Astyanax mexicanus: one gene and its partner. The protein of the gene in region 1 interacts with the protein of each later gene in a biochemical or structural test. Links are inferred from orthologs where the notes say so. Each region holds a gene or a part of one and is shown on either strand. Other genes may lie near its edges.

Region 1 (7,094 bases):
AATGTAAAGCAGCGTTATGTAGCATTTAAACTATAAAATATTAGCTTTAAAATTATTGTGAGCAGGGGCATAGCAGCAAATTCTGGGCCCTGTACACTCTCAATATCAGTGGGCCCCTATCCATGCCAGTACAGAAGGAACATGAGTGACAAAAAAAGTGTCTTAAAATGAGTGAAGTAACACCTAAATCAAGCAAAAAAGTCACTGTTTTTGGAAACAAGAATCAGAATAACTTGATTGCTGCTTGATTGTGCTTATTGTTAGTTCAAATTACTTAAAATATGGTACAAATTCTAAGTAACAATAATTAAGATAATTATCTCTAAAATAAGCAAAATAATCTAACACTTACAATGCTTAGTAAGACAAAAAGTCTTATCAGAGAAGATAATAAGATTTATTGCCTTAAATTTACTTGCTAAGAGTTTTTTGCAGTGTGGTTGAATTGAGAGTTACACTTTCTGACTTTAGGGGAAGCCAAGGAGCAAGAAATGCCAAATTCTCTATAATGCTGCTTTAAAAGGAAGAGCTTTTTTAAATATTAGGTAACATCTGGTATAAGTTCAGGATCAACAAGCTAATAATTAAAGATGATTTCTTTTATACATTGCTTCATTGTCATCTACAGGAATGCTGGAAATGGAAATGAAAGACCCATTCTACGAAACCCATTCAACATCTCACTCAGTTGGATGGAGGAAGAGTCTCACTTGTCTTCTTCTTCCACCGATAAAAAGGGGGGGAGCAGATCATCGTCTGTAATCCACAAAGGTCTAGAGGAAGTCTCCGCCTGACTCCTCTTCCTCTTCCTCTTCAATCGATGAAGAGTTTGGAGAGCAGAACGACTCTTTAAGAGAGAGGAAGACATTGGGTTGTTTGTAGGTAGTTAATCAGCTGCAGTCTGATTTGTGGTCTGATTTCAGAAGTAACACCAATACACATAGCCTGCCAGTCAGTTAGAAGAAGAATGAAGAAGCTCCTCAGGAGAAACATTGTGGTGCATCTCTTCTTCTGCTGATTGGTCTGCTTCATACACAGAAGCTCCTGCATGCTCACATTCTGATCAGGTGGTGGAATCTGAATCTGTGAAGCCACAGCTCACACTGAAGCAGACACTCAGGGGGCTGAGACTCCTAAAATTTAAGGTATGTGAATATTAAGTTATCCATATTTTATACTCTTCAAATCACTTTGAAATTCTCATTTGTTAAATCTTTGTTATTAAGAAGTCTACAAGGGTCCATCCCATGTAGACATCCTCCACAGCTAAAAAAGTAATTAAATACCACAGTTCTGCTCCATGGGCGAGTGGTGGAAGCAGAAACTGTGCTCCCACAGCCCACAGTAATGCAGGAATCCAGAATGAGACTGAGGCTTCTGACTGAGTACACTGAGTAGTTCAGCTTAAAGGTATGTTAGATAAGGTATTTAATGTATTTATTTGTAAGGTATGTTTTTCCTTTCATTCACAATTGATGACCATTGAGAAATCTCTATACCCTATATATGATGGTCAATTACAGTTTAATTATACAATTATAGTTCTTCAGCGTTCTGTTTAGACTGTGCACATTAAGCCCTGTTAGTAGGTGACATTTGCGAGAGCACCAAGGATTGAACCCAGAGGTGAATTTAACCTAAAAGCAGATTGACCCTGGAAGAGCTATCTGTCAGCTTCTGTCTGTCTGGTGTCCACCAGAGAAGGATGGGATCCTCTTCTGAGCCGTGTTTCCTCTCAAGGTTTCTTCCTCTTAATCTGAGGGAGTTTTTCCTTGCCCCTGTTGCTCAGAAAAGGTTTGGACTCAAATTGAATTATTGATGTTTTCATCAGTTTTGTGCTTCATCAATGTTGTCTAGAAGAGGCATTTTGACTTACTGACTGACTGATGAACTATGTTAAAATGTTAGTATGAGGCTTCGGATGCTCCAGCGGACGAAGGTGCTGCCACTATGATCAGAAAATTGCTGGTTTGAATCCCGGTCATGCATCTCGCCATCAGCTATCAGAGTCCAGAGAGAGCACTGGGTGGCATGGTGTCGGTTAGCAGATGTATCGGAGCCATATATATTAGCCACATGAACCTATAATCTAGTGATTTTTTTTTTGAGGCAATGAGCTACAGGTCAGTATTTAGCCTGCTCTCTACAGCAGCATTATGCAGGAATTAGTCATAATTACTCCAGCTAAAAAAAAAAAGTTTACTCATTTCATGTCATTTTTAAAAGGAATGTAATAAAATGAGAGTGAGACTGAAGCAGAGTAAACACAGGGCTGAATGGTGGATTTACTCTGGTCAGTTTAAATTTTGAAAAAAAAGTGTAATGGAAAGGAATTCTCTCTGACTTAGTTGTTTATTGATGTATTCATTCTTCTGCGTTTCCTTTCCTTTTACTTTTGTTTTCCGTTTTCTGTGACATGCCTTGATAATATACAGTTATGTTCAGTTATGTAATATGTAGTTGTGTTTACATACAGTGCTGTGAAAAAGTATCTGCCCCCTACTGATTTATATTGAATATTATACATATTTTTTTCAGATGAACAAACATATTTTAATATACATGAGTAAATATAAAAAACACTTTTTAAATGATAATTATATTTATTAAAGGAAAAAAAGCATTTGCCCCCTAAACCTAATAGCTTGGTTGTGCCACCCTTGGCGGCAAAAACTGCAATCAAGCGCTGGTGATAATTGTCTTTCAGAGTCATCTCTGTGGAAGAATTTTGGCTTACTCTACATGGAAAATTGTTTTAATCACATTGGAGGATTTTTGAGCATGAACAGCCTGTTTAAGATCATGCCACAGCATCTCAATCAGACTTTGACTAGGCCTCTCCAAAAACTTAATTTTGAGCCATTTAGTGGACTTGCTCTTGTGCTTCGGACCATTGTCCTGCTGCAGAACCCAAGTAGGGCTGAGAATTTTTGATCAGCAGAGGTTTTTGCCTTGGAACTCTCCCATGGATACCCAGTCTCTTTCTTTTTATTAGATCATTAACACTGCCTTTAACTGAGACAAGACCTTAACACTTTTAATTCTTTACACAATAATTCCTCATGTGATCCTGTATAGCTTTAATGTCTTCAATATTAAATTTACAATGTAAAAAAAAACACATTGGGCTCTATTGTACCTATCTGTATGCAGCTAAAGGCATGTACTAATTTTCTTAATTATTTATGGTTATGTTTTAAGCATAATGTAAAATAAACCAATCACTCTGTCTCTTGCCATTCCCTCTGACTTTGGCCGATGGCGTATCGCTTCTGTGCTTCTTTGCAGATGTGTGACCAGGTCATTTTTCAGGGACAGCAATGTTATTTTATTGTGTGTTTTGTTTATTGTTGATGTAAAAGTTGAGTCTGTGCTCTGTTGTGTGACTTGCGTGTGTGTGTAATGCATGCCGTTGAGCATGCACAGCACACCTGCATTGCCAAGATAGCAATGAGCATGTTGACTGTTGTCAGAGTTTAATCAGTAAGTGGCGCACCTATGTTTTTCACTGCCAAGATAGCAACATGACAGAAATTTACAGAAATGTGATATATTTGTAAACTCCGTCACTATTTAAACAGTACAGGGCTGTTGGCGTGGTGTATGATAGCACAAAACTCACCTTGCACAGGGTGTAAAATAGGACCCATTAAATGAGAAATGAGAAGAGGTGTGTCCAAACCACTGACTGGTACTGTAAGTAGGTAAGTAAGGTGGAGAACAAGATTTGCCCTTTGGACTTAGTTGAAGTAATAACTTCAATATTTTTGTTGAATGTTGAAGTTATAAGAGATACTAAGTTACATGGTTCTTTAAATTACGTCATTGGACGTGTGGAGGGGTTTCTCTGCGGTGTGTGAATCTGGATATCAGAGAGAGAGAAAGAGAGAGGGAGAGAGAGACAGACAGACACAGGGAGAGAGAGAGAGAGAGAGAGAGAGAGAGAGAGAGAGAGAGAGAGAGAGAGAGAGAGAGAGAGAGAGAGAGAGAGATGGTCAGACCAATGACTGTATAGCTCTGCCTGTCCAGCTTTGGAGAACAGACACACACACTGCTACAGAAGCAGTAGCAGAAACAGCTCAGCAGGAAAACACACTGACTGCGACCTCTCCGCTGAGAGGAGGAGGGCGACGGACTGTGTGAGTTTATATTTATTACACAGCTCTGATTTGTTTGTTTGCTTGTTTGGATGTTGTGTAGCTGCTGCTGATGTTGTTATTTGTATTGGAGGGGTTTTAACAGCTAACCCGGGATTGCCCTGGTAGTTATATGGTATTGTAGCTAGGTTAGCTAGCTAGCTAGCTTGTTATAAGCTGCGTTCACAGCTTCGGCAAGTATTTCTTCATGTTTATTTTATTAAGCTAACAAAGGTCAGCTGTTGTGGCTTACACACACACTTTAGTACACACTCTAACACACCTTCACACACACTCTCAGTGCAGTTTGAGTAAAAATGGCGGTCACTAGTGCAAGGCCCTGCCGATTTGTGCGAGGTTTATGTTGGTTTTTAGTGGAATTATCCGTTCCACCTTAAATGGTGTAGCAGTTGAATGCTGCAAATGCTGATCTGACAGAATGGAGCGGATGCACCGTTTTAAGGTGGAACGGATTCCGCTAAATCCGAGCAAATGAGCTAGGAAGCTAACCTAGGTTCAGTTTTAAAGGCTGTGACTTGTGACAGTAACATATTAAATGGTTTTGACAAACATCTGGATATAATTAAACAAAGCATGAGCAAAATTAGACAAAATAAAGCTAGGTTAGGTCATTAGATTAGCTAACTGTTAGCTAATAAACAAACATAGATAGCTAGCTAGCCAACTGTCTGTGCCTGCCTTTAGCCTAGCTTAGCTTAGCTTAGCTGATATGAAAAAGCTACGAAATAGCTAGCTAGCTAACTACTTAACTAAGCTAGATAAGTTAAATCGTCTCGGTTGTTTTGTGAGCATTGCCTAGTTGACAAACTAATTCTCCCCACATTAAGGTTAACTAGCTAACTTTGGGTTGGTGGGTGAAGTGACAGCTGTTTATTTAACGTTTGACTTTTTTAAGACGTTAGAGTACCCCTAACGATCTAGCTAGCAACGTTAGCATATCACAGGGCTACGCTAACTTAGCTTAGCTTGCTTAGCTAGTTACCGGTAATAAACAAAATTTGAGTTCACTGGCTGCTGAGGAAATGTATAACTTAACTGTTTTTTACAAGACAGTAAAAGGTTGGTGACCTTCTTGACACTTAATTTTAGAATTAATTAAACAGGTAATTTTAGCAAAGTTTATATTTTTTACAGTGCTAGTAACATGACTTGGACTTATGGACTTAGCTAATTATATATGTGAATTTTAGACTGTTTTTGAGTCTGTTGGATGTACACTTAAACTAAAGATCAGATCATAAGCAGAACATACAGCTAAATATAATGTCTAGTCTTAAATGGAGCCAAAATGTGGGGTAATAAGCTGACTTTTGCAGCAACTGGTGCATCCTGCTGCTGTATGTGTGTGTGTGTGTGTGTGTGTGTGTGTGTGCTTAGGCCAGCACTGAAGCGTAGGACTAGAGGTTAATCGAATACATTTTATTTACCAAATTATTGTTTTAATGCAATTGAATGGGATAATTGAGATTGTACATTTTTATATATAGAAGCTGGCAAAGAGATTTTTATAGATAGACACTTTCTTCTGAAGGCTTTTATGGAGCAGTGATTTCCATATTTTAAACTCCATTATGTGGTTTTGCTAAGTGTGTGACATGCGGTATAATGGCAAATGTTCATATCACTTCCATGTCCACAAGTGTATGAAACCAAGCACCTAGACATTAAGACTGAATCTATTAACATTAGTAAAAGAATGGGCAGCTTTCAGGAGCTCAGTGGATGCCAACATGGTATCGTGATAAAATGCCCCCTATGCAACAAGCCCAGTTAATTTTCTAATTACTAAATATTCCACAGTCAACTGTCAGTGATATAACAAAGTGGAAGCAACTAGGAATGACAGCAACTCTAACTGTAAAAGGCAATGTAAAAAATCAGAGCCGCAGCAAACACTGAGGTGCATGGTGCGCATTCAGTCTCTACAGACCTATAAAGACCTCTTATCAGTAAGAGTCCATGAGCTGCTTAGGGCCCCAGGATGCGATTCCAACCTATCTAACAACTTCACAACGCAAGAACTTGAACTGGTAATCCAATGCCTGAAGACTGGCAAGGCACCAGGCATAGACGGCATCCATTCTGAGTACATAAAACACCAAGGCAAGAAAGCAACTGACTGGCTCTGTTCCTTTCTCTCTGCATGCCTCCGGTACTTAAAGCTGCCCAAGATCTGGCGTTGTGCAAAGGTGATAGCCCTCCCGAAACCGAACAAGCCAAGCGATGACCCAAAGGGATACCGGCCCATCTCACTTCTGTGTGTTCCTTACAAGCTTCTTGAGCGTCTCGTCCTGGCACGCCTCACCCCAGTGATTGACCCCCAGTTGCCCAAAGAACAAGCTGGTTTCCGAAGTGGCAGATCAACAACAGATCAGGTGACCCTCCTGTGCCACGACATAGAGGAAAGCTTTCAGGCAGGTGAGAAAGCTGGTGCTGTTTTCCTGGACCTCACAGCTGCATATGACACGGTCTGGCTGCGTGGGCTACATATGAAGCTTCTGGATACCATCCCAGACAAGCATATGGTGAGCTTCATCATGGAGATGCTAAGCAACCGCAGCTTCCGACTACACACCAGCAATGACCAAAGCAGTAGGATGAGAAGGCTCAGGAACGGCGTCCCACAGGGTTCAGTGCTGGCCCCAATGCTGTTTAACATCTACATCCATGACCTCCCCTTAACAACATCCCGGAAGTACAGCTATGCAGATGACCTGGCCATCTTATTCAGCAATCGATCCTGGGAAGCAGTAGAGGAGGGCCTCTCCAAGGACATGGAGATCTTGTGCTCCTACTTGAAGAACTGGCGCCTCAAGCTCAGTGTCGATAAGACTGTCACAACAATGTTCCACCTCTACAACAAGGATGCAACCCGCAAGATCAACATCACAGCTGATAATGTGCAGCTACAATCCGAACCCTCCCCGACGTACCTCG
Region 2 (7,450 bases), on another chromosome or scaffold:
AGGAATTGAGATTAGGAGACAAGCTAGCTAAAGCTTTTTGTCTTTCAGAAGCAGAAGAAAAATCTGTGTTAAACTACTTAAATGTCTCTAAACGGGTTCTTGTTTGCAGTTTAGAGTTAACAATGCAAAAAAATATGTACACTGCACTTTGGTGGGACTGACATTTAACTAAGAGAACTCAGATTTTGATGACACAAATAATATAAAGTTTTAACTTACAAGTACAGATCTCTGTAATACAGTTTTTACTAGTAGAAAGTATAATTTCTCAGATCAGCTTTTATTTTTTTTCTTACTAGAAATAATATCATATCTTCAGATCTATGAAGCCACTTTGACAAATCACATGAGAAGGACCATATTTCCTTAATGCAATTTTGACTAGTCACAGGATACCACTGCTTTATATGGAATTTTACTCTCTCGTATCTTTACTTACATTTGTACCAATAAAAAAACAGTTACAGATATGTACAATTAGAAGTGTAGCATATTGTTTTGTACGCAATAACATCGCCAACTTTTGTGAATAGTGTTATTGCAACAATACCCTGAAATATCATATTAGTTTAGGGACATTTGGGCCATGCTGTTCGTACAGCATGCTGTTTGTACCAAAAGGAAAATTCACACTGTTCTCATTTGCCATTAAAAAGTGTATTTAATATGTCCATATAATTTATTTTACTTCAATCCTGAACAGAGGAATGCATTATTAGTGACATGACATGTTGGATCATTGACTTCTGTTACAATTAGATAACAGGGATCTTCCATATCACAGCGTATGCAATAATATTTCCAAATATAATTTAACATTTACTTTGTTGCAGTTGTGTATTCTTGACATTTTGTTTTATTTGTCAATGTTTTGTCATAACAGCAAGAATATTGTTACTGCAAAAATACCCTAAAAAAATCATGATATTATTTTAAGGCCATGTCGCCCTAAAATAATAACGCCCTATTACAGATATATGGACCTATACTTGTTACAAGTGAGAATTATTGCAGATGTCTGAAATTACAACTTTTGGACTTTTTTTGAACATTATGGATATGTTATGGATATGTTGTCCTGGTAACATAACTTTTGTGAGAATTGTAAAGATATTAGCTTGCTTATAGACGGTTCCTGAAAGTGTAACTTAACTAATAAATAACTAGTAAAAACAATAGTTAAAGCCTAAAGATTGTAGTTGTAAGAACTGTAACCAAATGTAAGAGATGACTGACTAGTCAAAAGTATATTATGGATATGTTGTCCTGATAACATGACTTTTGTCATAATTGTAAACATTTTAGCTAGGTTATAGAGGATAGCTGAAAGTGTAACTAATAAATTAATTGTAAAAAATAAATAAATATATATATATATATCAAAAGATATCTGTAACTAAAGATTTTAGTAATAAAAACTGGAACTATAGGTAAGAGATGACTCTGACTAGTCAAAAGTATATTATGGATATGTTGTCCTGATAACATGACTTTTGTCAGAATTGTAAAAATGCTAGCTAACTTATAGACGATACCTGAAAGTGTAACTAGTAAATTACTAGTAAAAAAAATAATTATAGATATCTGTAACTGAAGATTTTATTAGTAAAAACTGGAACTATTGGTAAAGTATATTAGTATAATAGTATATAATAAAGTATATTATGGATATGTTGTCCTGGTAACATGAATTGTCAGAATTGTAAAAATGTTATAGATGATACCTGAAATAAGAGTAACGTTAACTAGTTTTAAAATGCTTTACAGAGTGTAAAAACTGAGTTAGGACTAAAAGGGCTTGACATAGCCCATGATGATTCATGATTTAGCTGGCTTGAGTTTGGATTTTATTTACGTAACGTTAGCTTAGTTAGTTAACAAGTAACGTTAAATTAGTTAACCAGTTATGCTGTACTTTGGTGGGCCTGACATTCAACTAGGATAAGCAGCTACCTAACGCTAGCTGGGTTAGCTTGGTCAGGAGGAGAACTATCATACATTTAGCTAAAACAGCTTTATCTAATTTTAGATGCATTAAAATGTTTAAAAATGTTAAATCCTCTGTGCGTGTCTTTGTTTTTTTATCCGGCGGAGTCTGATTTAACTGATAGTGTGCTAACCTAACGCTACCTTGAACAATGCAGTAGGTTAGCTAACCTAGCTTATAAACCTGGACGCTGTTGTTAACAGTCAGCCTAACTGTCAACTTTTCCTTTAGAAGAAACTGTTAAAAAGTTCATCCTTCAGCTCAACAAGGCGTGTGGAGCCATAATCTACAACGGGAGCGAGGAATGTAAACTTTTTCTAACTTTTTAAAGTTTTTATAAGAACTTTTCTTCCTCTCGGCCACATCATTTGCATGGCAACCCATTCCTGCAGAGCCCCCACTCCTCTATCCCTCCCTCCTTCCCTCACTCACCCGAAGTCCTGATCCATAGACTTGAAGAAGAATTTGTAGTTCGGCTTGTTTAGGACCTGTTTAAAATCCAGCAGAGTGATTTTCTCCGCCGGTATGGGAATCTTCACCAAGTACGGCGTCTCCTCTTCATCGATGTGATAAATTATTTTAGTCTCCGCCATTCTTTCTCCTCTACTTTCCCCCTCTGGATCCTCTAAACTATGGAAGAGGCTGGGAGGCTAGCTAGGTTAGCTAGCTAACTGGCTAACGCTAGGGGTAGCCCAGCTAACGAGAAGAAGAGGAGGAGGAGGAGAAGAAGGAGGAGGAGGAGGGAGGAGGGAGGAGGTGGTGGAGGGGGTCGACTGGAGCAGACTGGAGTCTCAGGCTAACTTTACCCAGCGTTTCCAAGCAAGCGAGCATAAACTTTTAACCAACAAAAAAAAGCTCCAACGGCCCCCAGCCCACCTCCACTGCCTCTATATCCCCAACATTTCCCTTTCTCCTCCTAAACTAACTCAAAACAATCAGCTAAACCCTTAAAAAAGCGCCCGGCTGCACAAATCACACCCGCACTCAGCTCAGCTCTGCTCTCTCTGCTCTCCTGCAGCCGCTGCTTTTCCTCCAACAACAACACGGCGGAGTTTCAAACTCCTCTCCAGTGAAGGCCAACGCGGCGCGTGACGTCAGCCCAGCCAGGGAGGGTCCTGCTCACCCGAGGAACAGGCATGGGTTAGGGGTTTGGGACAGAGTTTGGGATCTTGGGTTGGATTTGGAAAAGAGTTAGAAATTTTGAGTTTGGGACAGAGTTTGTGATTTTGGTTTGGGTTTGGGAAAGAGTTAGAAATTTTGGGTTTGGAACAGAGTTTGGGATTTTGGTTTGGGATTGGGACAGAGTTAGGTGTTTGGGATTTTGGTTTGGGTTTGGATTTTGGTTTGGGACAGGGTTAGGGGATTTTGGTTTGGGACAGGGTTAGGGGTTTGGGGATTTTGGTTTGGGACAGGGTTAGGGGTTTGGGGATTTTGGTTTGGGACAGGGTTAGGGGTTTTGGGATTTTGGTTTGGGATTGGGACAGGGTTAGGGGTTTGGGGATTTTGGTTTGGGTTTTGGTTTGGGACAGGGTTAGGGGTTTGGGATTTTGGTTTGGGATTGGGACGGGGTTAAGGGTTTGGGGATTTTGGTTTGGGTTTGGATTTTGTTTTGGGACAGGGTTAGGGGTTTGGGGATTTTGGTTTGGGACAGGGTTAGGGGTTTGGGGATTTTGGTTTGGGATTTTGGTTTGAAACAGAGTTTGGGATTTTGGGTTTGGGACAGAGTTTGCCTGAAGCTGGTGAGTTGGTGAAGCTGGTGTTGCAGATGGTCCCATAAATGCTCTCTGCATTCTGGCTGAGACAGCTTGGCAAAATGTCTTGAAGTGAGTTGTAGAGGCATGTCTAGTAGTCAACATTCTCTCACCAAGAGGTACACTACCTAAACACAGCCTCTGACAGCCTTTTCAGACCAAACCTGTAATTGGTTTATGTCTGTCTGAGAAGTAACTCCATGCTGACTTGTGCAGCAATCTGGGTGCAATAAGGGAGAATTTTTTGTGTGTTTACTCACACAAAAGGTTTTATCATGCACATGGAAATGTTGTGGCTTAATAGCTTTGTTTGATTAATAGTTAATGAACACTATTTGTCAGTTCACTGTCACATTAAACCCTTTTTGTTTGTCATCTTGTTTTTCGTAGTTCAGCTCAGTGAGTCCTGGCAGGTTGTCATGTATCAGACCCTCCTAGTTAGTGTTTTAGGTTAAATCTAATTTAAGCAAAGAGTACCAAAGTGTTTAACACACAAAAATAAGCAGAGAATGAAAGAAAAACATGTAAGTTTAGGTTGACCATGCCTTTTTCTTTAGACTGTACTGTACTCTCTACAGAGCAGTTAGGCTGATTTAGCATTCAGCGAATTTGGCAAATGTCTTTAACATCCACTTCAGTCCTTAAGGCATACAGCCATCAAAAACCATAATGTTTCATGTGAGGGGGGTTGGGGAAGTCAGACCTCCATATGCCCTGAGCTGGAAGATGTTTCTGCATTACAACTCCATAAGAACTTCATATATGTTTTTGCGTTTTACTTTTGATATATCTAAGTGATTACAATATTAGAGAAAAAAGATAAATTTATTAGGGGAAACGTAAATGTAAAGTAGGGTCTAGAAATCTCTTGGGCCGCCTCTAGTCTGGATTAAAAGATGAGATATGTTTGGGCACGGAGGCATACAGGTTCTTTAACCATCCTGCAGCACATTTGCACACAGATATTGCAGCTGAACTTGTAGATTCACTTATAGATAGCTAAAGCTGGTGTCCCTGGTGGTCCTATAATGGCTTAATTGGTGATAAATCTGGAAGCAAGCATTGCAGTCTGGCTGAGGTACACTACCTGAACACAGCCTCTGAGGGCCTTTTCAGACCACACCTATAAACGTTATTATACCACAGTTAGTTCCGACCCTGCAATGTGATTGGTAATGTGCTGTAACCGAAGTTCTCCATGTATTCCTCTGCCACATACAGGTAACCAGTGTTGCCAACTTAGCGACTTTGTCGCTATATTTAGCGACTTTTCAGACCCTCTAGCGACTTTTTTGTAAAAAAGCGACTAGCGACAAATCTAGCGAGTTTTTGTGGTGTTATTGGAGACTTTTGGCGACTCTGAGATGAACACGCGCACTTCAGTTCCTGTCCTCCGCGCTGCAGGGGGCGCTGCCGGGAGCCCCGCCCCACACCACTCACAGTACAGACCCACACTCTCTCACACTCAGAGCACACACACACACCGCTCCACCAACACACTGTTTAAATGAATCGCGCGTGCCCACAGCCGCCGCTGACTGACCCCGCTCTGTATTTACAGAGCAGAAGTATAAATATTAATGTGTCTTCAGTGTGACACGAACAGAAATCCTAAAAAAAAAAAAAGCTAAATATCTATTGAATCATAGACAAATTGTTCAATGGTTCAATAGATATTTAGCTTTTATATAAAGAGGCAGACACTGTGGAGGAGGTGAGTGACAGGCTATGTGGTGAATGAGGTGAGTGAATGACTGAAGGTGCTTACACACTGCACGCGGTAGGTGCGGCGCGGTACGCTGACCCCCATAGGATTCAATAGTGTCTAGAGCGGTAGAGTGGTGCGTCGCTGCCGCGGAGCAGAGCGGAAAGCGGCGCGTTTCCCCGCCCATAACCACGCCTCCACCGCGCTACCGCTTACCGCGGGCAAAGTTCAACATGGTTCAACTTTGACCTCGCGGCAAGCGGTACCTCGGCAGAAAACGCATGACATGAACTCACGCGACTAGAGAGAAACTGTAGTCCAAACAACAATAAACGTGCGCGAGAGACTAATAATAGCGATTAGTGAATCCCCTCAGCTGTACATCACTTCCCTACACTCATATAGAGATAACAGGAGGAAGAGAAGAATCAGAGCTTTGTTCTGAGGCTGAGAAACATATACAGATCCACAGAGGCTGTAGAGACTCAAAACTACAAAACACCGCTCGCAGAGGTGATGGGTTTTAGAAAACTCCGCCTATTATCAGCAGGAGACGCTTGGCGTCAGCAGCAGCGCAACGCACCCGCAACTGACCAGCGTAGAGCAGAGCGGCAGCACAGCGGAATGCCGCGCGGCATACCGCGTTCAGTGTGTAAGCACCTTGAGACTGTGTGAGTTAGATTAAGGGATTTCTGTTCGTGTCACACTGAAGACACATTAATATTTATACTTCTGAAAAAAAATTAAAAAAACAAAAACGTAGAATAACAGTTCCGGCTGCTCTTATAATAACATTTAAGAACATGGCAAAAAACGTAAAAATGAAGTTATTGTAAAAAGTGACGTCCTATTTAAAAAGCAACAGAAGTTGTTCATTTGTAACATTTCTAACACATTTATGGTGTTTTTACTCACTTTTTTCTCTCCCAAAACCCTAATCCTACAGCTTCAAAAACATGTATTATGCAAATTAGGTGATGACGTCATTTAGCGACTTCTAGCGACTTTTAGGACAGCCAATAGCTACTTTCCTTACTGAGGAGTTGGCAACACTGCAGGTAACCCAGCACGGATACAGTGCTTACAAGCCAAACAGCGTAGCTACACACAGAGCAGCATTGGAACTATTTACACTAGCTGAGTTTTTATAACCAAACATATCGTATTTTCTCATCCACTTTAACTCAAAGTCTTGCAATGAACAGAGATAATGGAACTGTGGTAAAATTGCAATAATACTCTCTAGGTTAGTGCTATAACATGTAATATTGGCACTGCAGCACAGCAATGCCAATATTACACATTATAGCACTCCCTCTTGTGTATTATTGCTTAATGATATCTGTCTAAAATGTAACTGCAATTGCATTGTGCATTAAATTAATCCCATGGCACCTTTAAATCGCTTTCATAATAATGTAAAATATACGTACATTCTGTATTTTATTTCCTTTTACAGTTAAAACGGTGGATTGTTATGTTAATAAACCTTTAGTCTCTTGTTTGGGAGTGTGGAGGTAATGATAATGCGAGTTTAGGTATCGCCCAGGGCTAGTGGTATAGTAATATCATTTCAGATGTTGTCAGACAGGTGTGTTGATTGACACTGACAGCAGTGTCTTGGCACTAGTTTCTCAGAAAACCCCGGAACAAACCTGCAGTGAGACAGAGTGTGCAGGTAATTATCCAGAAAGATAATGTAGGGATGTTAATGTGGTTATCAGTCATTTCAATTTTAATTTCAATCAGAAAAGTTACTAAACATAGTGACCAAATACAATTTCATGGATTACAATGACATGCAACTATAGCACTCTGTCCCATGACTTTTGCCATGTCCAATGGAAGCTGAAGGAGTGTTTTACACTGACATGTGGGACATTTCCTTGGAGTATCCTGCATTGAATGTGTATGTGATTCCTGCCACAGACAGTTCTTTCCAGACACCATCAGTCACAATCATTGCCCCCCACTCTGCTGTCCACTGTGGATGGTAATGCCTTCTGT

What was found. The genes of interacting proteins can lie anywhere in the genome.
Region 2: the proteins of NEDD4-like E3 ubiquitin-protein ligase WWP1 (region 1) and dvl2 form a complex in vitro, tested with the Homo sapiens proteins (2 studies listed by BioGRID, with this or other methods). The link is inferred for Astyanax mexicanus from reciprocal best matches to the Homo sapiens genes WWP1 and DVL2.

What each region holds. Positions count from the first base shown.
Region 1 is NC_064413.1:45,898,028-45,905,121, reverse strand, and holds the start of NEDD4-like E3 ubiquitin-protein ligase WWP1, read left to right. Parts: upstream 1-4,091; 5' UTR 4,092-4,139; intron 4,140-7,094. UniProt on the Homo sapiens protein: E3 ubiquitin-protein ligase which accepts ubiquitin from an E2 ubiquitin-conjugating enzyme in the form of a thioester and then directly transfers the ubiquitin to targeted substrates.
Region 2 is NC_064415.1:18,700,824-18,708,273, reverse strand, and holds the start of dvl2 (segment polarity protein dishevelled homolog DVL-2), read right to left. Parts: upstream 3,078-7,450; 5' UTR 2,581-3,077; coding exon 2,420-2,580; intron 1-2,419.